7 linked regions of the Macaca mulatta genome follow. The protein of the gene in region 1 binds, or shares a complex with, the protein of each later gene. Links are inferred from orthologs where the notes say so. Each region holds a gene or a part of one and is shown on either strand. Other genes may lie near its edges.

Region 1 (4,321 bases):
GAAGACATGAAAATCCTTATTACTTGGCAATGTTTACCTGTAAGTTTTTACCTACTCCTAGCATATTTACAGTTTAGGGTGAAAAAAATTTGAAAAGCAAAAACTTGCAAGGAAACATTACAATCCAAGTAACTGCAGCACTAGACTAACAGATCAGTGTCTGAGGAGGCGATCAGACACGGAGAAGAACAGCTCTCCAAGTCCTCCCTTCTGACACAGTGGAGTGCCTCGCTGTCTTGTGAAGGCTTCATACCAATCCCTCCTTCCTGAGCAGCAGGCGCTACTTCTCTCCCTCTCTCCCAAAGGCGAAGTGAGTCCACTCAGAGCACCTCTTTCCACTCTCGGTCATGGTCCTTATCAGGCTGCTTTGTAATTTTTCCATTTGCTGACAGGTCTCCCATGGTGAGTTTTAAGCTCCTTGGGGACAGGGGAAATATCCTACTCACTTGGTATCCCTGGTACCTAAGCACACTGCCCAAGTCTGTGGAAGAGACATTCAAGGCCAGTGCCAAGCAAAATCCCTGTCCAGCCCCCACCAACCCAAACTATGGATACAGTGACTAGTAGGATCATGCACGTACTTCAACAAATACTAACCAAGTAATCTCTATTAGGACCACCAAAGACGGAGAAAACAACCCTTTCTGTCATTCAAGAACCAGCTGTTTCCAAATCTAGAGATGCTTGTTAAAATGCAGATTCCTGAAGTCTACTCAGGTAAAAGCACTGTATTTTACATTTTATGAAGTTCTCCAGATAATTTATTTAAGCAAATGGTTCTCAACTAGGGGCAGTTTCCCCAACCCCACCCCACCCTGCTCAGGGACATTTGGAAGTATCTGGGGACACTGAACTGTCAAGACTGAGGAAGGTGGTGCTACTGCTATACTAGTGGGTAGAGACCAGGGATGTTGCTAAACATTTTACAACAGGACCGCCCTCCACAACAAAGGACTGTCCAGCCCAAAATGTCAATGGAAGCTGAGAATCTCCGCTATAAGCCCTAAAAAAAAAAACCACCAACAACATTGTTCTTTGGTTTTAAAGTGAGGAGTTTTAAAGAAATCTCCAAAGTACAGCAAATGATAACCAAAAGCTACATTCTAACCAAATGATGGAGTGTAGATTATAATTAATCAGGGATGTTTTATTCTAACATAAAGGGAACCTGAAAACAACTGTCAAAATCTTGAAGGGGTTGCCATTCTAAATAATGGATTTCTAGTCTTAGCCATGAAAATAATCACTTTCCAATTTCTCAGTGTTACAGGTCCCTCCGATCATTAATCTGTTAGTACACTTTTAAAAGGAGAGAATAATCCAGGTGATGTAAACAAATTTTTAAATTCTAATATCTACTATGCCACAGTTCAGTGAGAGACTGCCTGATGCAGCACAGGGTACTCACTTGGGAGGCAGGAAACCTGAGTTCTAATCCCAGCTCTGCTACTTAATTAGCTGTGTGACTTGGATAACTCATCATTTCACTTCTCATGGCCCCAGGTTCCTCATCTGCAAAATAAGGGAGTTATGCCAGATGACCACTTAAGTCTCTTCCTGCCCTAACATTCAGGTAGTAACGCATTAACTCCAGTGACACACACACACACACACACACACCCACAAACATAAGCCTCTCAAGATTTCTGTACAATATTCAAGCAAGTAAAATTGCCAAACACCTGAAAAACTTTTTTGGAAAACACTGCAGCAATGTGTACGAAGGCCTAAAAAAGGCCTTACAGATGAAAGCATCTAATCTGATAATTTCACTTCTGAGAATCTAGTCCAAGGAAATAATCTAAAAAATAGGGGGGAAAAGGTTTATCAAAGTATTATCTGGGGTGCTAAGAGATTCAAAAATTCAAAAACAATCTATAATATCCCACAATCGGGAAATGACTGAATAATTTATGGGACCTACATTGCGATCCACAATGAGGGACAGTCAATCAAAAGAAGATACAAAACTAGAATAATATTTAGGAAGAGTTTTTAAATGGAAGTGGTAAACTATACTGTTAAGTGATTAAACATGTACACTCCTAGCTCAAGTAGAAGCTAGCATACACAGGAGAAAAAGATTGTAGGTGAAAGGGTTGTGAATACTATTTCTTCACTAAAGTCTTCCATGTTTGCAATTTTCTACAATAGTCACATATTACTAAGAGCAGTGGGGTAGGGTAATCCGCTTCATCCTAATGCTACACATCTTAAAAACGCCTGCTATGCACGCGCGCGGACACGCGAACGCACAGAAAACCTCGGGCAATAGGACTTAAGACCATACAATTGGGTTCCTAGGCCTGACAACTCAGTAAGACAGGCGAGTCGAGTCCTTAATTCCTGTGGTCAGGCGCAGCCACCCCGATGTAGGGAAGGGTTAGCAATTCCCTGAAGCCCTGGAAGACTGGCGAAGCCTAGGCCTGGGTTCGGGATCCGCTTTCCCGCCGAATCCTGGGATTAGCCTCGGGGCTCCCTGGGGAACTTCAACAACCTCAACTGGTCTCGGACGCCAACTCGGTGGGAGCCGGGACGGTGCCGCTACTCTCTGCGCAGTCTAAGCACCTCGCTGAGGGCGGTCCCGGCGCCCACTATCAGACCTCTCCGGCCATTCCGTGAGCGGAGAGCTTGGACGCGGCATTTCGCGGAAAGCTGCCACTCAGCGGCCCCTTCCCGGAGCCCCAGCCCGTTCCCCTCAGGCCCTTTCCGGGGCTGCCTCGCCCGGCCTAGGGCCGCTGCAGCCGCCGCTCCACAGCGCGACTGAACACTGGGGCGTCGAACCCGGGGCTACGCCCGGCCCCGTCATCGGCCCGCGCAGCCGTGCGGCTCACCTCGCGGGCGGGATCCAGAACCCTCACTCCAGGCGCCCCACGAGTCCGGCCTCCGCGGATGATCGCAGCCAAAAGCGAAACCGCCGAGGCAGCGGCACTTTTCTGCCTCGGCCAATCACTGCTCTTCTCTGCTACGGCAGCCCGCTGGGGCCGAAAAGCCTGTCAGCGCCGAAGCGCGCAAATCCGAGAATCCTGTTTTGTCTAGTAGCAAAATTGGTGCACTGGAGTTCCTCTGACAGAAATCTGAATACAAAACAAATATAATATAAAACAAAAACAAAAATCCAGGAAACTAGAAGTGATCTTTTGTCCAGGATTTATTTGCAGAAGTGTAAAAAATAACTTGAAGTCATAGGAAACTGGAATTTACTGTTTAAGTAACGGCACTGTGTACCCAGAAACGTCCTTGAATAGTTTAAAGCAAATAAATAAATAAAACACCTCAAGTCTTTAAATCTACCTCTGGATATTTATTAAATGTGTGAAGACTTAAGCCATTTTAGCAAGAGACTGTTTCCATGGCAATGTTGATTAAAAAATAATTAAAATCACTCAAGTAACTCCGAATTATAATGACATTAATTGTGTTACATTAAAAACTTGTTCCAATTGGAAATGGTGTGCAGACATTATTTAAGTGCTACTATGGGAACTTGGTTTGGAATTTTGCATGAATTCTCAACACTCTTTCTATTAATGGGATTGGAAGGGGGAAAAAAGAGAACTGTTACCCCAAGACTTGATTCCTTTACTCTCATCAGCTGAAAACTTACTTTAATTTTATTTATGGTTTGTAACGCTACACACAAAGCAATAAGATCTTCCAACACAGATCCTTAACCCCATTAGGTGTTATAAAATCTAAGATGCAGAATTTTTTTCTGAGATAAAGAATTCCTCCCTTGTAACCTTCTTTTGGCTAAAGGCAGAAGAAATGAACTTTTGATTGATATCAGGGACAGAAAACAAGTGGATGTGATTTGGTAAAGAATAGAGACTTCCTTATATCCTTCTATAAAAGCTCAGTTTGGGTAAAGACCAAACAGTTACTGATTTATTGAGAGGACTGTATTTGAAGTTCTTGCAATATAAAATATAATATAAATAAAAATTTTAAGAAAAGTACTGTTTAAATCAAATAATTACTTGCAAAGTACAAACATAACAGGATAAAAAGGCCTGTTCCTAAAAACTTTCTTTGCAAGACATCAAATTGCACATTCCTTACTGGTTGTTTAAATTATTAAAAAAAAAATAAAATAAAATTTTGATTCAAACTTCTTTCCCTTTCCTACAGAGCCCTAATTGAGCTGTTAACACTAGCGTGGTGGGTAGGGAGCCATGAGGAGTTTTAAGGGCCTAGTTCATCTGCAGAGCAGCTGCAGCCTTCTCCAAGGGCAGTAGCTGGGTAAGGGCCCAGTTTGACACACGGGGTGGGCATCCTGAATTATTTCATGAGCTAACAAGTTTATAAAAACTGTAGCTGT
Region 2 (3,600 bases), on another chromosome or scaffold:
TAGCTGGGACTACAGGCGCCCGCCACCGCACCCGGCTAATTTTTTTGTATTAATTAGCAAAGGCAGGTGGATCACAAGGTCAGGAGTTCAAGACCAGCCTGGCCAAATGGTGAAACCCCATCTCCACTAAAAATACAAAAATTAGCCGGGTATGGTGACGGGCACCTGTAATCCCATAATCCCAGCTATTTGGGAGGCTACAGCAGAGAACTGCTTGAACCCAGGAGGCGGAGGTTGCAGTGAGCCAATATCACACCACTGCACTCCAGCCTGGGCTACAGAGCGAGACTGTCTCAAAAAAAAAAAAAAAAAAAAAGAAAAGCTCCCAAGGTGAGTCCAATGTGTAGCTAAAATTGAGAACCACTGCCTTAAACTAACTACTGACAGCACTATTACTTGCAAAATCCCAAAGCCAAGGCCAAGCAAGGACAAACTGAAGGGAGCTGCCCTCTGAGACGCCAAAGAAACACCTGTTTTTGCCACTCTGTGCCATGAGACTAGGTCAGCAGCCACTCACATGATGAAGCACATGGATCCGGTAGGAGCCCTCGGAGGGCTTGCCATCATGCACGATGTTGGCAATGAGGTCATAGGTGGTATTCTTGTGTACTGCTTGTACTTCTTCAGACAAGTATTCTCTGAGATCCACATTGCTGTTAATGGTGAAAATAAAGCCGGAATAATCAGACAAAGGCTGTGCAGCTAAGGAAGCTGTCCTACACAAACAGACCACAAAGGCTCTCGGTAGGCCTGCAGAGTCAAGAAGGTCCAGTTGTGTTGGAATTCACAAAATATGCCAAAATGAATGACAGGGTTACACAGCTTCCCACATGACTAAAAAAATAAATAAATAAATAAATGACAGGAAGTGGCTTATACCTATAATCCCAACACTTTGAGAGGTCAAGGTAGGAGGACTGCTTGAGCCCAGGAGTTCAAGACCAGCCTGGGCAATGTAGTGCGACCCCTACAAAAAAAAAAAAAAATCAGCCAGACATGGTGGTACATGCCTGTGGTCCTAGCTACTCAGGAGGCTGAGGTGAGAGGATCACTTGAGTCCAGGAGATTACGGCTAAAGTGAGCCAGGACCACACTATTGCACTCCAGCCATGGCGACAGTGAGACCCTGTCTCACAAAACCCCCAAAAAGAAGAACTTTCAAACAGTTAAAAAGGAAAACATATAGACAGTTAACAAGATTATTAAGAGACTATTTTAAACACATAATTTTAGGAAAATATATCATTTTGGAGCCTACAAATATTTATAAAAACTTAAACAATACAAAGTAAAATTAAAAAGATATTACATCATAAAAGTTGTTTGATGTGCTACAACTCATTACATGAAACAAAACCATGTTATTACTGAAGAGTTCACAAGAAACAGCTAATGGTGGTCACGTCCAGTTATAGATCTCCCTTTGAAGTCAGACTGTGAATCTACTAACTTTTCAAATTACAGAGTTTAAAATGTAAACCATGTGGTAATAAACAAACATACAACTTTGTTGTAATTATTATATGTAGCTTCCTATGTATTGGTGACAGCTATTTGTTTCTACAGACTGACAGTGTCCCATATATGATGCAGTCAGACTGCAATAAACATTTACCGTTAAGAAAATAGAGGCCAGGTGCAGTGGCTCATGCCTGTAATCCCAACACTTTGGGAGGCCAAGGCGGGCAGACTGCCTGAGCTTAGGAGTTCGAAACCAGCCTGGGCAACATGGTGAAACCCTGCCTCTACTAAAGTACAAAAAAAAAATTAGCTGGGTGTGGCGGCATGCACCTGTAGTCCCACCCACTCAGGAGGCTGAGGCAGGAGAATTGCTTGAACCTGGGAGGCAGAGGTTGCAGTGAAGCGAGATCACGCCACTGCACTCCAGCCTGGGCAATAGAGCGAGACTCCATCTCCAAAAAAAAAAAATGGGAGGTATGAGTCCTCAGTCCATGTGAGCTCTAGATAGCCAACCTGCCTTCCTGCTGCCAAAAACTGACTTCTCATTTTCTCTTCAGCTTGAAAAAAAGCTGACTAGACTTGTCTAAATGAGTATCAGAGAAGTCTTTTTTTTTTTTTTTTTGAGACAGAGTCTCACTCTGTCGCCCAGGCTGGAGTGCAATGGTGCTATCTCGGCTCACTGCAAGCGCCATCTCCTGGGTTCTCGCCATTCTCCTGCCTCAGCCACCCCAGTACCTGGGACTACAGGTGCCCACCACCACGCCTGGCTACTTTTTGTATTTTTAGTAGAGACGGGGTTTCACTGTGTTAGCCAGGATGGTCTCGATCTCCTGACTTCATGATCCACCCACCTCGGCCTCCCAAAGTGCTGGGATTACAGGCGTGAGCCACCCGCCCAGCCCGGAGAAGTCTTTATACTCAAGATTTCATGACTGAACCAAAACTGTCCATGTGGCAAAAGAGAAATACTACGTTTAATCATTTTGTTTTAGTAAACAGGAAAAGGAGCAAACTATTCATTTTTTTTTTTTTTTAGTAGAGACGAGATCTTGCTATATTGTCCAGGCTGGTCTCAAACTCTTGAGCTCAAGCAAACCTCCCACCTCGGCCTCCCAAAGTGGTGACATTACAGATGTGAGCCACTGCACCCAGCCTGAAAGAGCAAACTATACTCATCTCCCAGCCACAGCAACAGACCAGTTAAGAGAATGGCTAATTACCTGAAAGTGAAACTTTAAACCTGCCCTCAAAAATCTGTCTCCAAATAAGCAGAGGGTGCCTAATCACTGTAAGTCTGATAACTCTGACAAAAATAGGATGTGTTATGAATAAATCACAGGAGAAGACAGGTATGAAAAGGATCCTTTTCAAGAAGTATGGACGATGAAATGATCCAGAATCGTATTACTCGAAGTAATTACAGCACATAAAATATTTAAAAGTGCAAGTTTCCAAAATTAGTCACAATTTGATGTTCTCTAAAAGACTGCCTAGTTAAGAACCAAGTCTTCTCTTAACTTCTCTGAAGTAAGCTTTCTGAAGGACAAACTTTTATACTGGGCCTACTCTAGGCCCATAAAAGAAAACAATGGGACAAGGAAATTTCTGTGGCAACTGAGCAGGAAGTATCATTGATACACAGTCTTCCTCCCTCTGGAGCTGCCCTTGGAATCAAGACTGCCCCTACCTACCAGGAACAGACAGATGACTGGTAATTCACAAGAGGCTAGTGCTGAAATAAAACCCTGATGCACAGACTTTCAAAGAAAGCAGCTCTGCCATCCTACTCAAGGAGGCAGAGAACAAACCTCCATGTCTCCCTATTTAATTCAACTGTCTCACAAACAAGATGTTAGTGGAGAAAAGTGGGGGAAAAGAGAAAAGAGAAAATTCCCCTGTAATTCTCAACGGCAAATGTTCTCTCTCCTCACCCTCCATGGTTCTAAGAGTCCTAGCAATACTATAACAAGATGTTACACCTGGACAAACCCCGAGGGCTCAGGCCCATCTACTCCAAGCTGCTCATTTTATCTTTGAGAGAACATACCCAGAAAACATGCAAACTATGGGTCTGAGGGCCCACCACTAAGGCAGCCTAAAACTCGGGCCTCTTAATTTTAGATACTACCTTCTTAAACG
Region 3 (4,322 bases), on another chromosome or scaffold:
TGAGCATCACAGGTTTTAGTATCCACGGGGTATCTGGGAAGGACTACCTTAGTTTGCTCAAGGAATGTCTGACTTGAGATTTGAAGAAATCATACCTGGCAAAAGCCATGGTGGGGGGTCACTCTAGGCCGAAGGAATATCAAAGGAAAAGGCTCAAGAAATAACTTGGCATATTTGAGGAAGAGAAAGGAGGCCAATGAGGAGGGTATCTGGCAAGGAAACAAGTGGTAGGAGAAACAGGAGAGGTAGCAAGAGCCAAAACACGTAGCATCTTGCAGGCCAGGATAAGACAACTGGATTTTAAACTAAGAGCAATGGAAAACCAAGGAGAGTTTAAAGCAGGAGCATGGCATGATTTTTTTTTTTTTTTTTAAAGATTATTTGCGTTGCTGGATGCAGAGCTGGGAGGCCAGTCAAGAGGAAACTGCAGTCACTCAACTGAAAGGTGATGGTGACTTGGACAGGGGTTGTGGCCATGGAAATGAAGAGAAGTGGACAAATTTGAAATACAGTCTGAGGCTGAACTGACTGGACTTGCTGACGGGACTGGATGTGTGCACATAAGAAAAAGGTGGACTTTGTTTTATAACAAGTATTGGGACTGGAAAAACGGAGGAAAGCATAGATTTGAAGGGGAAGACCATGAGCTCTGCACTGTCCACGACAAATGTAAGAAGCCTATCCAATATCCACGAGGGGAAGTCAGGTGGGATCCCACTGTGGAACTCTGGGCGAGACTCAGCTGAAGTTATCATTCGGGAGTCAGCACACTGCATCACTCTACGTCCTGGTCCGTCCGTCCGTTTTCCTGGGACACAAATAACTGCCTTCTCCGCGTTCAACCCTGAACATCTGCGCTGTATCCTCTGGACAACGGGGAGCGGGAAAGAAGCTACGCAGGAGCTTGGGTCGGGCGAGGCTCACGGGAAGCCGCTCTGGGTGCAGAGGACAAAGGCGCAGGGACAGCGGGGAGGGCCGGCCGCGGCCTGCCGTGCTGCCCCCACTGCGCGGAACGCGCGCAGCAACCTCCTCCCGGCCTCCGCGTCTGGACTCCCGCCGCCCCTGCCTCTGGGCCTCCTCCGCCCACCGGCAGAGTCTCCCGCGAAGCCCGCTGGGCCACGCTCTCACCCTCCTCCTCCTCACGCCGGGTCTTGCTCTTGGCCTTGGACTTCTGGCTGCGCGTTTCGCGTCCCCGCGGCTCCCCGCCGGCCGCGCGCTTCCGAGCCATATTGCTTGTCGGGGAAAAATCCACTTCGCGAGTGACGCACCAGGCCGCGATGCGTTAGAACGCAGGCCCCGCCCCGAGGCGGGCGCGTCTGGCCACGCCCCTTCGTTGGAGGCCTAGTCACGCCCCCAAAGGAAGCTCCGCCCCATACCCGTGGCCACTAAAAAACCGCGGGAAGCAGGCAAGAGCACAGCAGGTTTCTATTTCCGGTGTATTGTAGCATCACGTTTCCGGAGCTCGGCGTTGCTCTTGTGTTCTCGCGAGAGGCGGGAAAGGGCGCAGGGTTTGAAACATGGCGGACGACGTAGACCAGGTGAGTGAATTTTAAGGCGGTGGCTCGGCGCCGCTTCTTGTACTAAACTGCTTTTTCCAAACGCAGGAAAAATGGCCAGTCGCGCCTCTTCTTTCCAAGTCACACGGCCTAATCCGCCCCATCCTTTCCGTAAACACCCCTGTCCGAATTTTGCTGCAGGCCCTGAGGTCTTTTCCGTTAGAAGGCCACCTGATGACTATTCATCACACTCTTCGCTTTGTTTTTTTAAATCTGTAAATTATTATGCGTGCCTACCTCACGGAGCTGTCAGGATTCCAATAGAAAGCCAGATAATAAAGTTAGGAGTTGTTATTACTGAGCACAACAATTATTTACTCATTCAGCAGAGAGAGTGAACATCAGCTTTGTATGGTTAGACACTGTTCTAAGAGCCAGGGACACTGACATCGATATATAAGTGATCCTTGCCATGACTTGGAGCTTATATTCGCGAGGAGAACAGATAAATATAAATATGTAAGATTTATAGGAACTGTGATGTGCTATGAAGGAAACAAGGAACTGGTATGCAGAATAACAGATGGTCCTAGAAGCTTTTTCACCTGGTCTTTTTCTTCCTCAAATATCTTTGGAGATCATGCTACAACTTAAACTTTCTACTGAAATCTCACCTCCTCAGAGAGGACTTCTGCCCAAATAGCACTCCCCCTACTCTGCTTACCCTGCCTCATTTTTCTTCATAGAACGTTATTTTTTCATATTAAATGTATGCATCTTTGTTTAATGTGTATCTCTCCTGACTAGAATGTAAGTGCCATAACAGTAGGCATTTTGTTTTGTTCATTCTTTTGTCCTTGGGGTTTAGAACAGTGCTGGAAATACTCAACAAATATTTGAGTGAATGAGTTAGATGATCAGAGGAGGCCTCTTTTAAAAGCCAATGTATAAAGCTACAGGATGAAAAAGAACAGAAAGTGGGCATCCCAGACAGAGGCTTAGGTAGCAGTAGAGCTCTGTCATGTGCATATTCTTACAGTATTATAATTATTCATATGCCTATCCACATTAGAATGAGCTCCTTGAGGGTGGAGATTGTGACTTCTGTATCATTGTAATCTAACAGTTGGTTATCTGATCCTTTAACAAACACCTGTTGAACTGAGGGACATAGGGACCAGTTGAGTTAGGTTATTTTTTTTTCTCTCATCGGGCCTTTTGAATCTTTAGCGCCTGTTACGAATTCAGTTACCTTCCTCCACTGGCCTTGTGTACTTACTAAAGAAGCTCTCCTTGAATCATCTAACTCTTTAATGGCTGCAACCCTCCCTTCCATGTGGGTGACCCCAAGTCATCCTAGCCCTGACCTCTAAAACCAGTGTTTCCAGCAGTTCTTTAATAATATAATATTAGTAGGAATCTTTTCTTTTCTTTTTTTTTTTTTGGATGGAGTCTCACTCTATCGCCCAGGCTGGAGTGCAGTGGCGTGATCTCAGTTCACTGCAACCTCTGCCTCCTGGTTCAAGCGATTCTCCTGTCTCAGCCTCCCAAGTAGCTGGGACTACAGGCACGTGCCAGCACGCCTGGCTAATTTTTGTATTTTTAGTAGAGACGGGGTTCACCATGTTGGCCAGGCTGGTCTCAAACTCCTAACCTCAGGTGATCTGCCTTTCTCAGCCTCCCAAAGTGCTGGAATTCAGGCCTGAGCCACCACGCCCAGCCAAAAGGAACCGTTTCTAAGTATTAATATTTTCTGCTTTCCTGGCACTGTTTTAAATGCATTAACTAGTTTCATCCTCATAAGAATCCAGAAGGAAGGTTGTGGCTTTCTCAATTACAAATGAAGAATCTGAGAATTACAGATGGCATGATTTTTAATCTCAGTTCATAAGTGTCAGGTCACAGCCAGGAGTTGAACCCAGACTGCCTGACTCCAAAGTCAGTGCTTGCTTGCTTGTTGGCACCATCTTGGCTCACTGCAACCTCCACCTCCCAGGCTCAGGCAATCCTCCCACCTCAGCCTCGGAGTAGCTGGGACTACAGGCACATGCCACCATGCCCGGCTAAGCCAGTGCTTTGAACCAGTGTTCTATTCTGGCTACTAAATATTCATCTTACTGGCCAGTTGGCAGCCTAACCTCAACCTGTGCTGAATTCATAATCTTCCCATAAACCTACACCTCTACTTGGCATTCTGACTAGTATATGGTAGGCATTAAGTGAGTGTTTTTCCTATGATTACATAATATTTGAGATAAAGCTAAAGTTCCTAAGACCCTATACCCTGAAATCGGGTCAGGCAGTTTGGATTTTGAGGGAACAAAGTATAGTCATGATTATTTTGCTGTGTAACTCCTTCTTATGTATGCGTGTTTTAATCTACATTTATATAGCACATACTATGTGAAAAGTTCTGTTCTAAGCCTTCATATATGTCACTTAAGCCTCATAAAAACAGTATTAGGTAGACACTATTATCTCCATTTTACAGATTAGGAGACTGAGGCAGAAAAAGGTTAAATAACTTGCACATGGTCATACAGCATAGCAGTGATTTAAGCACTACTTTATCTCTAGTACTATATTACTAAACCTGTTTCTGTTATCAGCAACAAACTACCAACACTGTAGAGGAGCCCCTGGATCTTATCAGGCTCAGCCTAGATGAGCGAATTTATGTGAAGATGAGAAATGACCGAGAGCTTCGAGGCAGATTACATGTGAGTAAATTTATCAAGTTACCTTGAAATCAGATTCCTTCCCACCCCCACTCCCTTGAAATGTAAAACCTGTCCAGAGTGAAAAGGTATTTTGAAGGAAGAGAGG
Region 4 (4,382 bases), on another chromosome or scaffold:
GGCACCTGTGAAATATTTAAGTGTAGCTCTGTTTCCAGACTAACTTTCTTCCTGAAGTTCACAGCTCAGCTCTAACCCAGCATGAGGCCAGTGGGCCTTGTGGAAGCAGCAGATCAATACAACACATCCAGGAAAAAATCGTATCAAGTCCAGCCGAACATCTGCAACTGTTACTCACTTTAAAACAGCTGGGACATCGACAGGACTCTTAACAAGATAAGGAAGATTCTCCATTATCTGCCATTTCTGCACAGGGAAATTTTTAAATAGTTATATTGTTCTTTATACTAAAATCTTACATTTCAAAAATTTCTGTTGAGTTTCCCCAAAAGAGCTTCCAGAATTAGAAAGTCATATTTTGCCCATATACTAAGAAGAAAATAAAACACGAATAGTCTTTTAATGCATTTCAGGTTTGCACTTATTTTTGGAGACAGGGTCTCACTCCTGTTGCCCAGGCTGGAGTTCAGTGGTATAATCATGGCTCACTGCAGCCTTGACTTCCCGGGCTCAGGTGATTCTCCCACCTCAGCCTCCCAAGTAGCTGGGACTACAGGCATGTGCCACCACGTCTGGCATTTGTACTTTTAGTAGAGAACGGGTTTCACCATATTGTCCAGGCTGGTCTCGAATTCCTGGGCTCAAGTGATCTGCCTACACTAGCCTCCCAACCAAAGTGCTGGGATTACAGATATGAACCACCGTGCCTGGCCTAGGTTTGCGCTTTTAATAATTATACTATAATATTTGCATTAAAAGTTTATTAATAAAGCAATCCAAATTTTTGGACAGAAACAAAAATCAAACTATTTTAAAAGACCAAAAAAAAAAAAAAAATACCCCAAAGTGAGCCCATTTCAACTGTCCTTAAGTGTGTGTCCACTAGTGATACAGTGATTCATTCTGTAATAACAAAGAAATCGGACATAAAGGAATTGGAAAAAAAGAGCAAATCTGGCAAAGACCCTAACACTTACATTAACACATAAAATCTGTTTCCTAGCTAAGAGCATCTTGCTGAGCTCTGCCTGGATGTGATGAGACAAAGGCCCTCACATCGCCAGCCATCCTAGCCTCGAGCTGCCGGCAGCAGGATCTGAACACCAGCTGATGTTTATGCCACCACCTGCAAGGTAGAACAGTGAAAGATTCTAGAACTCGTAACTCAAAGTCAGTGATTTACAAGCAGTGATTTACTTATTGGGAAACTGCTCTTCGTCAATTCTTCGCTGGATTTCCAGTATCTGCCCTTGTCCACTACAAGTCAAGCAATGAAAAGCTGATGTGCTGGCACTGCCTCACTCATCATCTCTAATCCCTGGCTGGCAGAAGCCCCAGTGTGAGAGAACTGCTGCTCTCCTGATTCCCTAGGCAGCTCCTCAAGTCCTCAGTGTCCTGCTGTCCAAGAGGAAGAGGCTGGGAGATGGCTGGTAATAAAGCACTCCGCCTCTGTCCCTGACCCCCATGGAAGGGTTTCTGAGTGTGTGGTTCAAGGTCAGGTCACATCAGAATTCCCTGAGGGGCTTCTTTAAAAAGCCATTGCTGGACTTCACCCCACACCCATAGACTCAGAATCACAGATGCATTTTAGTAAGCACTCCAAGAGATTCTTGTAATAACTAAAATATAACAACAGTTCCTAACATCACACCTCTCCTACTAAATAAGAAATAGCAAGAATTAATAAATGGCAGGCCAGACAGTCTTTCCTTTCCTCAATATAAAATGTCTTTATATCTGTTACTCTTTACTCAAAGGAGTTATTTTAACCCAGCCTACTTTAGCATCTGTGAAAGAAAAGATAGCTTCAATGTTACTTTTACTCTTCATCAAAATGAATAACCGCTCAAATTACTTACGGAAAATTAATATGGCAAATATTTTATTAACACCCTAGTATTTGTGCCCTTTGCCCTATTGCTACAGCTGCAAAACCTAAATAAACGCCATCCTAAAATTGCTGTGAGGAACCACAGAAAAAGAATGAAACCTGGTTATAGTGTCCCACAACTTTTATTGTCAGCAAGTAAGTGCCAAGGCCACTCAATGTACTAATATTAGAAATTCAGAAAACTAGTTCCAACAAAGCATAGTTCTATTTTCTCCCGATGTTTTCTGCATCTTAATCACTCTAAGCTATAAATCACATGACTTACAAAAAGCGCGGTGGAAGAAAACACCAACAGAAAAACAGGATTTCTTATGCTATTAACATGAAAGTTCTGCTTTACACATACAACAAACAAACAGGGCACCAGAAAAGGGCATCCTTTTAAATTAAGGATCTGCGCTCTCAAAACCTGCAAGTGTTACTTTGTTCACTGCACTGTAAGATTGGGAAAAACGCCTTACCAACAGAAATAATGAATTCCTTCGAGGGGAGGGGGATCATAAACCCTTTAAAACGTGAACAACTACAGGAGCTCCCTGCAGAAAAAGGCGCGAAACGCCGGCACAGTCCCCGAGAGCGCTCGCCCGCAGCGCGGGAAGGAATCGCCCGGACAACCGCGCCGCGGCCCCTCCTCGGGGAACGGCTCGCGCCCCCAGGCGAGGCCGGCGGGGCAGAGGCGCGGGGCCGCTGCGGAAGCACAGCCAGCAGGGCGGGAGGGCCCGGCGCGCTACCTTCTCGGCGATGCTGTATAGGACCTCGTCCATCTTCATGCAGGTGGGGTCCCAGTCGTGGCCGAAGCGGATGACGACCACGCGGTCCTCCTCGGAGAGAATGGCCTGGTCCACCTGCCAGCCGTTGTGCAGGTGCGGGAGCATGTACGACATGGCGACCCGCGCGCTCGCCGCCGCCCGAGGCCGGGCGCCAGGGAGGGCCCAGCGAGGTGGTGGGCTCAGCCGGCCCCTCACTCCGCGGCCCCCGCCGCCCCCGGGCCCACAGCCGAAACCCGGTCCCACCCACACCCGCAAGCTCCGCTGGCACTGCCGCCGGGCGGAACCTCTGGGCGCGCACGCACCGACGCCGTGCGTGCTGACGTCATGCGCACGGGCTGGCGCCGTGCGTGCTGACGTCACGCGCGTACAGACGCCGCGCTAGCTTGTCGTTGGCCGGCGGGAGCGGCGGCGACCTGGCCACGGTGGAGCGCGGTTGGTGCCCTCCTAGCCGGCGTCGGAGTGGGGGTTCCTCCCCAGCGTCCAGGCGGCCTGGTGGTCCTGAGAAGCCCCGGGCTCGCCGTGCCCTGCCCCGACGCACCCGCCCCGAGGCCGCCCGCCGCCGCCCGGGCTGTCCTCCAGCCACGGATGGGGACGTCTTCAGAAAGGCCCGGCATGCCCGGCACTGCGGCTCGTTTTTTTCCTTTCTGGTGTCTGTTTCGGGTCATCGTTTGTGCTGTGTGTTAGCGAGACGGTTCGTGTGTGTCATTTGTGAAACTTGACCATAAAAATGTGTCGTTGTTGCCATACCCAGCCACGGCAGAGCCGAGCAGCGGGGTGGGGGGAAGCACTGGGCAGGCCGTCCTTGAGGAATGTCACCGTCAGGCCGGCTGCTGAGCTGCCTGTTGTAACCCGAAACCAGAGTTTTTGTCTTTTTATAAAGAAAAAAAATTTTTTTTGAGACGTTGTCTCGTTCTGTCGCGCAGGCTGGAGTGCAGTGGCGTGATCTCGGCCCACTGCAGCCCCCGCCTCCCGGGTTCAAGCGCTTCTCCTGCCTCAGCCTCCCCGTAAGCTGGGACTACAGGCGCCAGCCCGGCTAGTTTTTTTGTACTTAGTAGAGACGGGGTTTAACCATGTTGGCCAGGCTGGTTTCGAACCCCTGACCTCAAGTGATCCGCCCGCTTCGGCCTCCCAAAGCGCTGAAATTACTGGAGGAAGCCACCGCGCCCGACCTGAAGCCAGTTTTATTGCATAGCTTCAGCATAACTTGCACCTCCAGGACTGATCTGGCTCCCCCGGCTTCGCTCCCCAGACCCTTACTGGTGCCTATGAACTTTCTCCAAGAGAAATAATATTTCTCTTTTTAAAATAAAACCTCTAATCTCTGTTCTTCTGAGAGAGCACTTTGGGTTCATGTTAGAGACTCCCCCTGGTTTGCAAACTGACATTGACAGTAAAACTCTTGTCTACTATCCAGCCATCCTGGTGGTCCTTTGGATGACAAATTGACAACAAATCATGCCCGGGCGCGGTGGCTCAGGCCTGTAATCCCGGCACTTTGGGAAGCCGAGGCCGGTGGATCGCCTGTGGTCGGGAGTTTAAGACCAGTCTGACCAACATGGTGAAACCCCGTCTCTACTAAAAATACAAAAAAATTACCCGGGCGTGGTGCCGCGCGCCTATAATCCCAGCTACTCGGGAGGCTGAGGCAGGAGAATCGCTTGAACCCGGGGGATGGAGGTTGCAGTGAGCTGAGATCGCAGCACTTCACTCTAGCCTGGGTG
Region 5 (4,305 bases), on another chromosome or scaffold:
CCTCCTGATACACCCCACCCTCCTGATACACCCCACCCTCCTGATGCACCCACCCTCCTGATACACCCCACCCTCCTGATGCACCCACCCTCCTGATGCACCCACCCTCCTGATGCACCCACCCTCCTGATGCACCCCACCCTCCTGATGCACCCCACCCTCCTGATGCACCCACCCTCCTGATGCACCCACCCTCCTGATGCACCCACCCTCCTGATGCACCCACCCTCCTGATGCACCCACCCTCCTGATGCACCCACCCTCCTGATGCACCCGGCTCCTGCTGTCTCAGGGGTTGGCCTGGGGTTCCACAAGCCCCTCATCGGACTGAGGCTCCTGACTCGCCTGTCCCGGCCTTGCCTGTACCTGCCTTGGTCACCTGTGAACCCTCACCCCCAGGAAGGACCATGGCTGGTATTTGATGAGCTCCAGGGTCTGAGTCCAATCTCCAAGAATACAGGTTTCCTCAGAAGGTCAAGGGAAAAGCAAGATTCTGGGGCTCAAACACAATGAGGTTTGCAGTTTTATTAAGAAAACAAAAATTCAACCTATACAAAAAGGAAAGCACTTCCGTTCCAGCAGGTGGCACCGTGGTGGGAACGGCGGCCAAGTCTGTGGGGAACCAAGCTGCTCCGGCCTGTCCTGCAGCCCTGGCCCGGCTACGCGTCCTGCTGCTGGATGAAGGGGTTGGGGATGGCCTCCATGCCGTCCTGCGGGCAGATCAGCACCACAGACGTGCCCCGGCACACCACGAGGCCTAGCTGCCGGGTGTCCTCCGTGAGCTTGTACTGGTCGTCAGGGTCTGGGAAGGAGCAGACAGAGAGGGCTGAGGGAGCTCCAGGAGGCCTCTGAGAATTCCCACCGACACAAGACCCTCGCTCCGCCCTCCCCACCTGCACCCTGCGGGTGCCATGAGCATGTGGGGACCCCAGAGGGGGTGCACTCTGCGGGGCAGGTCCCCGGCTCCCATGGCTCAGACCCACAGCCCCTAGAGACCAGCGACAGCTCCACAGACAGCAGCCACAGCCTGCCCTCACTCCACAAACCACAGGAACAGGGAGGCCTGAGCGACAGCCGGCTACCCTGGGTCTTGGAGCTCACTGGAGCCCAGGCACCAGGGCTGGGGACCAGGTTATCAGATGGCCAGCCAGAATACAGGCACCCCGGGCCTCCTGGTCTCTGCAGGGTTCCTGGAACCCTAGGGGGCCAATTTTCACCCTATAAGAGGCTGGGGCCTGGGTGCGGTGGCTCACGCCTGTAATCCCAGCACTTTGGGAGGCCGAGGCGGGTAGGTCACGAGGTCAGGAGATTCAAGACCATCCTGGCTAACACGGTGAAACCCCATCTCTACTAAAAATACAAAAAAATTGGCCGGGCGCAGTGGCTCAAGCCTGTAATCCCAGCACTTTGGGAGGCCGAGACGGGCGGATCACGAGGTCAGGAGATTGAGACCATCCTGGCTAACACGGTGAAACCCCATCTCTACTAAAAAATACAAAAAAACACCCAGGCGAGGTGGCGGGAGCCTGTAGTCCCAGTTACTCGGGAGGCTGAGGCAGGAGAATGGTGTAAACCCAGGAGGCGGAGCTTGCAGTGAGCTGAGATCCGGCCACTGCACTCCAGCCTGGGCGACAGAGCTAGACTCCGTCTCAGAAAGAAAAAAAAAAAAAAAGCGGCTGGGCTGGGTGCAGTGGCTCACGCCTATAATCCCAGCACTTTGAGAGGCTGAGGTGGGCAGATCACGAGGTCAAGAAATTGAGACCATCCTGGCCAACATGGTGAAACTTGGCCTCTACTAAAAATACAACAAATTAGCTGAGTGTGGTGGCAGGCGCCTGTAGTCCATCTACTCGGGAGGCTGAGGCAGGAGAATCGCTTGAACCCGGGAGGCGGAGATTACAGTGAGCTGAGATGGCGCCACTGCACTCCAGCCTGGTGACAGTGAGATACTGTCTCAAAAAAAAAAAAAAAAAAAAAAGAGGCTGTTCATGTGGGTGGGACCCACGTGGGGATCATGTGGGCTGGCACCCCAGGGAAGTACCAGCAAGCCCAAGACAAGCTCTGAAGAGGCTGACGGCAATGAAAACTCCTCACTACTGTGGTCGTGTGCTGGTGGGGGCATGGGAGAACCACGGGGCCCAGGTTTTTAACATTTTTGTTTTAGAGACCAGGTCTTGCTCTGTCCCTCAGGCTGGAGTGCAGTAGCGTCATCCCAGCTCACAGCCCCAACCTCCTGGGCTCAAGCAATCCTCCTGCCTTCGCCTCCCGAGTAGCTGGGGCCATAGGCACATGCACCGTCATGCCTGGCTAATTCATTTTTTTTTTGTTTTTTTGTAGAGACAGGGTCCCAGTATGTTGCCCAGGTTGGTCTCAAATTCCTGGGCTCAAGTGATCCTCCTGTCCCGGCCTCCCAAAGTGCAGGGATTACAGGCATGAGCCACCGTGGCCAGCTCCAAGAATAAATCTTGTGTCAGTATCAATGGGTCCGAGGGGTAAGACTGTCTCTTTCTAAGTCCTGGCCTCCCCCCGATGCCTGGGCCGGGCTGGGGACTTGCAGCAGGATCTTCTAGCGGGGAGAGTCTGAGGACCTGGCGGCCTCACTGGGGAGGAGAGCGAGCAGGGGCAGGGAAATGAGGGAGTGTTCTCTGGGGAGGGGATGGGGGCCCTGCGTTCATAGTGGGGATTAACAAGGCAGAAGAGGAGAGGGGCCCGAGAGGGGTCCCACAGCACGCTCGCTCTCCCACAGCAAGGCTGCTCTCGGCTGGGTGCCACAGCTCACACCTGGAACCCCAGCACTTTGGGAGGCTGAAGCAGGGGGATGGCGTGAGCCCAGGAGTTTGAGACCAGCCTGGGCAACACAGTGAGACCTCAGCTTATCTCTTTTTTTTGGAGACGGAGTCTTACTCTGTTTCTCAGGCTGGAGTGCAGTTGCACCATCTTGGCTCACTGCAGCTTCCGCCTCCCGGGTTCAAGCGATTCTCCTGCCTCAGCCTCCCGAGCAGCTGGGATTACAGGTGTGAGCCACCGTGCCCGGCCCCTCGCGACACCAGTTTAACAAAAACTGAAATAATACAACATTTAAAAAGCCTGTCCTCTAACTGTGCTGCGAGCATTTTAAGTGCCCTGTCAGTATGTAGAGACCAGTGGGGAAGCTTCCCCGTCTCTCCAGGCCCCACAACAATGGAGTTTCCAGCTTTGTGAGGACGTCCAGGACCGGTGAGCGCTCAGCCCGTCCATCGGCCAACACAAGGCTTCACGTTGGTGCCTCAGAGTGAGGTTTTGTGGGTTTCAGGGAGGAAGAGGCAGCAGGCAGCTCCATGGCCGCCTCCCTTGCCCTGCTGCCCCCTCACCCCACTGCCCTCCTCATCCCGCTGCCCGCCTCAGCCACCGCCCCACTCACCTCGCATGTACTCAATGGTGCCGTCCAGCACAAGGTTGAGGAGTGGGTCGAAGCCCTTCAGGATTCCACTGGCTTGGAGAAATCACCGGGGGAGAGAAATGAGAAGGCATGAGATCCATCTTGGGTACACGGCCTGCCCCAGCGTGGCCCAGGCATGGGGCTCACTGCTTCAGGGATGGAGGACTGAGGGTGGGGGAGGGCTCCCGGGAGGGGCTGGTGACAGGCGCCTCCAGAGTGACCCCCACCATGGGCAGCCGACTGTGTCTGCGGGGGGCTAGAGGACAAACACTTCTGGCCGTGTGGGCCACAGGGTGCCGGTCACAGCTGCTGGCTCGGGCTGCCTGGGTGGAAGCAGCTTCGGTGATGAGTCCACGTGTGGCTGAACCGTGGCCAGTCAGCTCGACACACAGGCACTGAAACGGGAATTTCGTATCACTTCCACATCATGAGACAGTCTTCTTTTGATCCCTTTCCAGATATTTAAAAGTCATAAAAACAATTCTCCGCTCCAAAACAGTAGCAAAACAGGCCGCGGCACATGCATGCGGTGGAACCACCAGCCGGGAAGAGGAGCGAGGCTGGCGCAGGCCGCGGTGCGGATGTGCCTGAGGACGCGCCTGAGGACGCCACGCTCGGTGAGAGACGCCAGCCACAGAAGGCCGCGCAGCGTGTGATCCCGTTTCTATGAAAGGTCCAGGACAGGCCAATCCACAGAGACAGGGAGGGGATGTGTGGGTGCCGGAGAGGCGACAGGCAGTGACAGCTGATGGGGACAGGGCTTCCTCTAGGGGAGACGGAGTGCTCTGCTGGGACAGCGGTGGTGACTGCGCTGCCTGACCCGTGCTGGGTCCCTCAGTGAGTTCACGGAATACAGAAGAACAAATCCCAGCCCTGCAGCTCAGGGC
Region 6 (3,600 bases), on another chromosome or scaffold:
CTCACTCTCTAACTACTCCCCCTACAATGTACGGCCCTGCCCTGTGTGGATGCTCTCCTTACCACACTTGTGCTCTGACACTCCACTCTGAGCCACCTTGGCCCATCTCTAACCAGAGCACCTTCCCTGCTTTGGCCTACATAACTGGCTTTAGGACTGAACTGCTCATGAAAGGGAAATATATATATACATATATATATATGAGTACATACACATATACACACAGTATTTCACTTAACTTTATTAGAAGAATGTACTTGATAAGAAGTTTGAAAACGATCTGTATGAATAATGCCCAGACCGCTACTTTTAGACTAAAAATGCAAGTGCTGTTGGAAACCTTTGCTTTCTGTTAAGCACTCTGACATGTAAAAAGCAACATGACTTTTCTTTCTTTTAAACTGAAGTTATTCAATTCCTGTACTTGCAACCTAGTAACAAAAAAAAACAGTAACACAAAGCATTCCAACTTCACAAGTAACTGAAAAGTACATTGCAAAAAGCTGTTAAATGATGTCTTAAATATACTGACATTAAAAATAGGAGCTGGTTAAAAAGCAGTCATCTTTAGGTGATGTGACATATTGCTCATTAAAAAAAGTATTAACTTGAGTAACACGGTAAAAATAACTATTCCAAATCATGTTTAATTAAGGCAGAAGAAAAGCAAAAAACCAAAAGAAGGAAGACAGGAAGGACATACACTCTTTTTCTACTCCCTAAATAGTTCCTAGATGTTTATTATAGCAGGCCCTCAATAATAATGTTAACAAAATTCACTCGGGCATTTCCACCTCTTACTATCTTCTGAAATGACAATTAGCAAATCAGCTACTGTTAAGACTCTCCAACTACAGTGACATCTAGGTAAGAGCTCTGGTTTAGAAACCAATCTTAAACCACAGACTCTCCTCCCATGCAACCATCAAGGGGCCCAAGTGATTAGGTATAAGAAAATCACTCAGTAGAAAAACATCTCAGCCAAGTGTCGTGGCTCACACCTGTAATCCCAGCACTTTGGGAGGCCGGGGAGAGGGTGGGGCGGCAGATCACAAGGTGAGGAGTTCGAGACCAGCCTGGCCAATATGGTGAACCCATCCCTACTAAAAATACAAAAATTAGCCGGGCGTGGTGTGGTGCCTGTAGTCCCAGCTACTAGGGAGGCTGAGGAAGGGGAACTGCTTGAACCCGGGAAGCAGAAGTTGCAGTGAGCCGAGATCGCGCCACTGTACTGGTCGACAGAGCAAGACTCCATCTCCAAAGGAAAAAAAAAAAAAAAAAAAAAAAGCAATTTGGCTGGGTGTGGTGGCTTATACCTGTAATCTCAGCACTTTGGGAGACCTAGGCAGGTGATTGCTCTGACTCAGGAGTTCGAGATGAGCCTGGGCAATATGGTGAAACCCTATCTCTACTGAAAATACAAAAATTAGGCAGGTATGGTGGTGCACACCTATAATCCCAGCTACTCAAGAGGCTGAGGCTGGGGAATCACTTGAACCTGGGAGGTAGAGGCTACAGTGAGCCAAGATCGTGCCACTGTACTCCAGCCTGGGCGACAGAGCGAGACCCTGTCTCAAAGAAAAAAAAAAAGCAAATTCATTAATTCATTTAAAAAGCAATAAGTATGGGGCTGCAGCCTCCCAGATGTACTCTTTTGAAGTCCCTCACTGTTTAATAATTAAAATGTCAACCAGAGTCCAAAATTCGTGTCAAAGAAATAATCAAATGGTTGGTACTATGATGTACTGTGTCCTTGTGTGCCTCTGAGATAAGTTATTATTTCTAGGTCTCAGTTTCCTTATTTATAAAATGAGGATGCTCAATGAGATCAGTGGCTCCCAGAATGTCAGACTGGCTACACTGAATCACTTGAAGGACACATTAAAATATCTGATTCCCATTGCAGATCCACTGAACTAGATTCTTTGGGTATTTTTAACAGGTTCTTCAGGTGATGACCATACAAAGAGAGGCTGGAAACCATCTGACTAAATGATGCTTAAGTTCCCATCTTGTGCTATACTAAAACCATTCACTGAACTTTTTATATATTGTCTGTAATCTCACAACAGCCTTTTTTTTTTTTCTTTTTTTGCTGCCTCCCTGTTGGTGGGGATACTCACAACAGCCTTGAAAAGACACGCATATTACTGTCGCTGTTCTTTTTTTTTTGAGACGGAGTCTCGCTCTGTCGCTCACGCTGGAATGCAGTGGTGCAATCTCGGCTCACTGCAAGTTCGGCCTCCGGGGTTCACACCATTCTCCTGCCTCAGTCTTCCGAGTAGCTGGGACTACAGGCGCCCGCCATCGCGCCTGGCTTATTTTTTGTATTTTTAGTAGAGACGGGGTTTCACCATGTTAGCCAGGATGGTCTCGACCTCCTGACCTCATGATTCGCTTGCCTCGGCCTCCCGAAGTGCTGGGATTACAGGTGTGAGACACCGCGCCAGGCCTATTTCGAGTAACAATTTATTCTATGGGTCTATTATTATTCTGTAGGGTAATTAAAACACGTATTAAATGTTTTATTTTAAATGGGGAAAAATTTCAAGTGTCTGTTATGGGAAATGACTGCTAAAATTAAGTTTTGCAGAGGAAGGTAGAGTATAAGTGGAAAGGCAAGATAAGGTTCACACTACATCACCTCAGAAACTGGAACACAGACAGACAATACCCACCTTAACTGTGCCATCGTCACTGCCAGTGCAGACAAGCTGAGGGCCTCTCCTGGCTGGATAACAGGAATTCACAAAGGAGGTATGTCCCTTTAGCCTTTTAACCCTCTCGCCTGTTTCACTATCCCACACAGCCACAGTTTTATCTGTGGATGCTGAGAAGAGCATACTAGAAAGTAAGAGAAAGAACACAAAAGAAGTGAAGATAAACAGTAACAATCTATCTTTCCTACTTGCCAAAAGGTGCCAAATTTTTCAAGATTTGCCAGTTTGCCCATGATGCTGAAATGCCTCACTCTACCAAAATCCTATTTGTGCTTCAGGTCCAGATATAAGATCTGACCCTGTGAAGTTTAAAAAAGGGGGACCCTTCTTTGAGTCCCCATGACATACATCTAATGTAGCAGTTCGCTCTGTCTTTTCCACTTTTGTGATAGGTAACATTTTAAACACAAGACACCCTCTCACTTGGAAATGTTTAATAACTCCCTGGTGCTGCAGAGATCAGAGAGACTGTGGTACTCTGGACCCGACAGCTGAGTTACTCCAATCTTCTCTCTTTACCAAACTTTTTCTTTTGTCTCTGAGGACAATTTCTTTCTTTCTTTTTTTTTTTATTTTGAGATGAGATCTTGCTCTGTCACCCAGGCTGGAATCATGGCTCACTGTAGCCTCGACCTCCTGGGCTCAAGTGATCCTCCCAATTCAGCCTCCTGAGTAGCTGAGACCACAGGTCGGTGCCACTATGCCCAGCTAATTTTTAAAAATCATTTGTAGAGGCAAGGTCTCACTATGTTGCCCAGGCTGGTCTTCAACTGGGCTCAAGCAATCTTCCTGTCTCAGCCTCCTACAGTGATAGGGTTACAGGCGTAAGCAACCACGCCCAGCCTCTGAGGATGATTTCTAAGTTATAACTGATCTTATA
Region 7 (4,055 bases), on another chromosome or scaffold:
TGTGAACCTATCATAGATCATCTACAGGGTATTCTTAAAAAGTCCAATTTCTGGCTCAAAAAGGCTGAGATTTGGACCATGGAAGTTAATGCCTCAATCAAAGTGCTAAAGTCTGTTATCTACAGTCAGTTGTACCTAGCCACTTCCAAGAACTTCCCCATCACCATTCTCTCCAACACCCCCATCAAACCTGGCTATTGTTCTCAAGCCTTAAGACTGGGTCTCTGTAGTAAAAACAGCAATTGCAACGATAATAAAAACTAAAACTACAGGTCTTTGATAGAAAAGGAATAGTACTTACATTAACAAAATCTCCACCCTGAATCATGAAATCCTTTATGACCCTGAAACAGAGAGCAAAGAATACTGAGAGAAGATTTTATGGAGACTTTGTTATTATTGTATTAGATTAACATTGATTTCAAAATACACTATAACTTTGGCTATTATAAAATCACCATTCTTAGCTGGGTGCGGTGACTCACGCCTGTAATCCCAGCAGTTTGGGAGGCCGAGGCAGGCAGATCACATGAGGCCAGGAGTTTGAGACCAGCCTGGCCAACATGGCAAAACCCCATCTCTACTAAAAATACAAAAATTAGCCAGTCGTGGTGGCACATGCCTGTATTCCCGGCTACTTGGGAGGCTGAGGCAAAAGAATTGCTTGAACCCAGAAGGCGGAGGTTGCAGTGAGCCAAGATCATGCCACTGCACTCTAGCCTGGGTGACAGAGCGGGACTCTGTCTCAAAAAAAAACCAAAAACCAAAAACCAAAACAACAAAAAAAGAAGATTATTCTTTTCCTGGAATGATTAAGCTGAAAGGATAATTAACCATAAAAAAGGATTTTAGTTATAAATTAGGGCATGTTAGAGTTGATCAAGTGCATGATCTGGTACCTGAACAGTAACAAGAAGAAGGGGCTGAAAGCCTGCAGGAAGAATGACCACATTACTTGCCAAAGCAAAAGGCAGATCAAGGATTTGATGTAAATTTGGGGCAAAGAACTACAGAGAATTTATGTGAAAGGTACTGCTACACATGTAAGGGCTTAACAATTGTTAGCTATTACCCCTAGGGAGGGTCCTTAACCTTTGTTATCCTCAGTTTCCTCCTCTGTAGAATGCAGATCACACATACCACTTCACAGGAGTCTTACTGGGGATTAGAGACCCACAGTTCTAAAGCTGTGATATAATTATGTGCTAACATTGTTACTAACCACAGTGAGGCCATGAGAAAGATTCTATATTGAAATGAGACTAAGTGTTGCCATACTCCACTCCCCAGGAAATATGATTATCCTTGGACAATCATATATGATCATTTTAGGAATTAGTTATAAATAGCAACCAGCAGGATATATTATATGCACTTTAGGATTACAAGTGTACTTCTTTAAAAATCTGCATTTGCACAAACAAGTGCATGAAAAAGACAGGATATTGTAAAGATGAGTAGTTTCTGTTTTAAAGACATAAGAAGTGGGAGAGTATAAGTAGAGTTAGAATATTTAATAAATCTTCAGTTATTGAGTCCACAAAAACATTTCTTCTTAAGAAATGTAAGAATTACCTCTGGTTTTATTTTCCTCTAAAGAGCCTAATCCCCCAGGAAATATTTCTGAAAGACTCTAGGATGGCTTGCCAAAAGCCTTACCTGTGGAAGGTGCTTCCTTTGTATCCTATTGGAACCCCATCTTTTCTATAACAAAAAGAAAGAGACTTGGAGTGATAGCAGGTAGCACAAGGCCTTTCCAGTTTACCATGCACTGGAGCCAAAAGGACTCTCCTAAAGATGGTTGACAGACATAAAGAAGGCAAATAAACTAGGGACAGACCCTTGGGGCATTACCTTCTATCACTGTCACCAGCAATCATTCAAGGCCAGCAGCTGGTTCACCGATACCCTCACCGCAGCCCCAGAACACCCTTCTGGAGCAGGCAAAGAAGTCAAACACATCTGAAACTGACCTGAATTCTCCGGTGCAGAACTGCCTGAAAGGGACAAAAAGTGAACAATTCAATCACTATGACATCACAGTCGTGACCGCCTCTAAAGACGGGAAAGAATAAACAATGGAGCCAGCAAGTCCACCAATCGGCCAGCCAGACGTCCAAACACGGAGACGTACAGACTAACAACGTAAATTAACACGGGAACAATCCAAACGGCAACCAGACAGAGCAATGCACGGAGGAATCAGGTCTCAAGAGCAGTGAGCGGACGGACAGAGGTAGACAGGCTATTCAGGCGGCTGACTAGAGCCCGACTTCTGCCTCAGCTAATCCAGCGGAACTGGAGCACGTCCTTACCTAAAGTTCTCGGCCGTCTTAGGCACAACGTCTGCAAAGAGCTCGATCTTCATGCGGCCAACTTCCTGCAATCAGCGGGAGACTGTCAGAAGGCCCAGTCCAAGACCATGAGGGCTTCACGGAGCTGGGGGCAGGATGGGCTGACCCACCACCCTGCCGCTCGGTATCACCCACCTCCGCCTCTCTGGTCTAACCGCCCAGTTCCTCCAGAAGCGGGGCGCTAGGATTGGGGAGACTTCTCCTCATTTCTCCCCGCCCTGCAGGTCGGTAGGTTCGGGTGCAATTTCGCTTTCTGGCTGGCTTCCCGAGTCCGCTCTCTCTGGGTGAGTTCTGCCTGCCTAGCTAGCCCCGAGCAGTTTCCCTTCGGCGCAGGTGTGGGTAGCGTCCTGGATCTCACCTGACCGCCAATGCTGACATCAAAGAACACCACGGGGTTAACAGGACTTGAATTTGCCACCGCCATGGCTCCGACCCGGAAGCAGAAGTCGGGAGCGTGGGATTCCGGCGAACCTAAAGCCCTGTCCGCGGGTTTCGTCCGGGGAGCAGGCGCGGTGGACGCCGAGAGAGACCGGGCCCCGCCCCCGGAAGCTGTCGCCCCGTGCCGTGTGTGCTGAGGCTGCTGGGGTCTAGCTGGGAGACTCTCCCTGAGACGGGGGACGCGGGAGTGAGGAGGAGGAAAGCCTTGACATCTTTTTGGTTAAGGTCGATGGTCACCCCACTCACGTGGCTGTACTAAGGGCAGTACAAGTTGATCTTGCTCTAGCTAGGGCTTTTGGACTAGGCAGTCGCCAGGGTCCTCCTTATCGGCTCTTGCAACCAAGCCCTCTACACCGCCACACGTGCTGTGTCTGTCTTCTGCCCGCTAGTCTGTGAACACCGTGAAGGCAGGATCTCTGGTTTGTTCATCCTCAGCGTTTAGAACAGCTTGGCACGTAAAGGCTTGCTAAGTAAATATTTGTCCCTTCCTCTAAGTCAGGACAATAGATTATGTTTCCGTTCTGCCACAAGCTCCCAGTTTGGTCATTTCCAATTCGTTTCCCACAGAGTAACTAGAGTTTTTTATTTTTTATTTTTAAAATACCTCTTGTGATTCCTATTTATTTTTAAAATAACTCCTGGCTTCCTATATTTAGAATAAAATCCAATTCTGTACATAGGAAGCCCTCCAGTGCATTAATCTGGCTATTACCTACCTGACCTCATCTTGTACCACTTGCCCTTAGTTACTGTGCTCTGACCTGTCTGCTCCTCCAGGTCACTGAGATCCCTCCTTTCTTTAAGGCCTTGTAATAGCTGTTTCTTCTGTCTGAAATATTCCTTCCAGATCTTAATGTGGGTTGGCGGGGTGATGGTGGGGTTTGGTTGGGCTATGTGTGTGGGAAGTAATGCTCCTTGTAGTTCAGGGCTCACCCCAGATGTTACCTCCTCAGAGGCAACATTAGACCTAATCTAAAGTAGCCCTTGGTCACTCAGATCACTGGTTTGTTTTCTTCATGCCACCCCCCATTTCACATTTGTATGGTATGTGTCTGCACCTCATTTCCTGCCACACACACATACATCTTCCTCCCTAATAGCATATAAACTCCATGAAAGTAGAGACTCTCTCAGTCCTGTTCGCAGCTGTAGCTGCAATGTCTCCTACTGAATAGCACATAGTAGGTAAATATAATAGATTCAATGAATTTAGTGAAAGAAGGGGAACTTGGGCAAGACTCATTAGCTATAACAGCATGCATT

What was found.
Region 2: LSM6 (region 1) and USP39 share a complex: the UniProt entries of both Homo sapiens proteins name them as parts of the U4/U6-U5 tri-snRNP complex. The link is inferred for Macaca mulatta from reciprocal best matches to the Homo sapiens genes LSM6 and USP39.
Region 3: LSM6 (region 1) and LSM3 share a complex: the UniProt entries of both Homo sapiens proteins name them as parts of the precatalytic spliceosome. The link is inferred for Macaca mulatta from reciprocal best matches to the Homo sapiens genes LSM6 and LSM3.
Region 4: LSM6 (region 1) and TXNL4A share a complex: the UniProt entries of both Homo sapiens proteins name them as parts of the precatalytic spliceosome. The link is inferred for Macaca mulatta from reciprocal best matches to the Homo sapiens genes LSM6 and TXNL4A.
Region 5: LSM6 (region 1) and LSM7 share a complex: the UniProt entries of both Homo sapiens proteins name them as parts of the precatalytic spliceosome. The link is inferred for Macaca mulatta from reciprocal best matches to the Homo sapiens genes LSM6 and LSM7.
Region 6: LSM6 (region 1) and SNRNP40 share a complex: the UniProt entries of both Homo sapiens proteins name them as parts of the U4/U6-U5 tri-snRNP complex. The link is inferred for Macaca mulatta from reciprocal best matches to the Homo sapiens genes LSM6 and SNRNP40.
Region 7: LSM6 (region 1) and PPIH share a complex: the UniProt entries of both Homo sapiens proteins name them as parts of the U4/U6-U5 tri-snRNP complex. The link is inferred for Macaca mulatta from reciprocal best matches to the Homo sapiens genes LSM6 and PPIH.

Annotation. Positions count from the first base shown.
Region 1 is NC_133410.1:154,723,712-154,728,032, reverse strand, and holds the start of LSM6 (U6 snRNA-associated Sm-like protein LSm6), read right to left. Parts: upstream 2,895-4,321; 5' UTR 2,835-2,894; intron 1,513-2,834; exon of another isoform or gene 1,409-1,512; intron 1-1,408. UniProt on the Homo sapiens protein: Plays a role in pre-mRNA splicing as component of the U4/U6-U5 tri-snRNP complex that is involved in spliceosome assembly, and as component of the precatalytic spliceosome (spliceosome B complex).
Region 2 is NC_133418.1:38,747,897-38,751,496, forward strand, and holds part of USP39 (ubiquitin carboxyl-terminal hydrolase 39), read right to left. Parts: intron 654-3,600; coding exon 518-653; intron 1-517.
Region 3 is NC_133407.1:152,980,391-152,984,712, forward strand, and holds the start of LSM3 (U6 snRNA-associated Sm-like protein LSm3), read left to right. Parts: upstream 1-1,464; 5' UTR 1,465-1,517; coding exon 1,518-1,538; intron 1,539-4,105; coding exon 4,106-4,216; intron 4,217-4,322. Other genes in the region: XPC (DNA repair protein complementing XP-C cells), read right to left, coding at 1,129-1,228. UniProt on the Homo sapiens protein: Plays a role in pre-mRNA splicing as component of the U4/U6-U5 tri-snRNP complex that is involved in spliceosome assembly, and as component of the precatalytic spliceosome (spliceosome B complex).
Region 4 is NC_133423.1:1,023,741-1,028,122, reverse strand, and holds the start of TXNL4A (thioredoxin-like protein 4A), read right to left. Parts: upstream 2,830-4,382; 5' UTR 2,776-2,829; coding exon 2,623-2,775; intron 1,127-2,622; exon of another isoform or gene 1,014-1,126; coding exon of another isoform or gene 978-1,013; intron 1-977. UniProt on the Homo sapiens protein: Plays a role in pre-mRNA splicing as component of the U5 snRNP and U4/U6-U5 tri-snRNP complexes that are involved in spliceosome assembly, and as component of the precatalytic spliceosome (spliceosome B complex).
Region 5 is NC_133424.1:3,071,144-3,075,448, forward strand, and holds the end of LSM7 (U6 snRNA-associated Sm-like protein LSm7), read right to left. Parts: intron 4,036-4,305; exon of another isoform or gene 3,877-4,035; intron 3,473-3,876; coding exon 3,401-3,472; intron 803-3,400; coding exon 660-802; 3' UTR 511-659; downstream 1-510. UniProt on the Homo sapiens protein: Plays a role in pre-mRNA splicing as component of the U4/U6-U5 tri-snRNP complex that is involved in spliceosome assembly, and as component of the precatalytic spliceosome (spliceosome B complex).
Region 6 is NC_133406.1:209,573,207-209,576,806, reverse strand, and holds part of SNRNP40 (U5 small nuclear ribonucleoprotein 40 kDa protein), read right to left. Parts: intron 2,845-3,600; coding exon 2,679-2,844; intron 1-2,678. UniProt on the Homo sapiens protein: Required for pre-mRNA splicing as component of the activated spliceosome. Component of the U5 small nuclear ribonucleoprotein (snRNP) complex and the U4/U6-U5 tri-snRNP complex, building blocks of the spliceosome.
Region 7 is NC_133406.1:198,100,186-198,104,240, forward strand, and holds the start of PPIH (peptidyl-prolyl cis-trans isomerase H), read right to left. Parts: upstream 2,820-4,055; 5' UTR 2,779-2,819; coding exon 2,713-2,778; intron 2,381-2,712; coding exon 2,316-2,380; intron 1,998-2,315; coding exon 1,974-1,997; exon of another isoform or gene 1,881-1,973; coding exon of another isoform or gene 1,855-1,880; intron 1,705-1,854; coding exon 1,660-1,704; intron 345-1,659; coding exon 302-344; intron 1-301. UniProt on the Homo sapiens protein: PPIase that catalyzes the cis-trans isomerization of proline imidic peptide bonds in oligopeptides and may therefore assist protein folding. Participates in pre-mRNA splicing.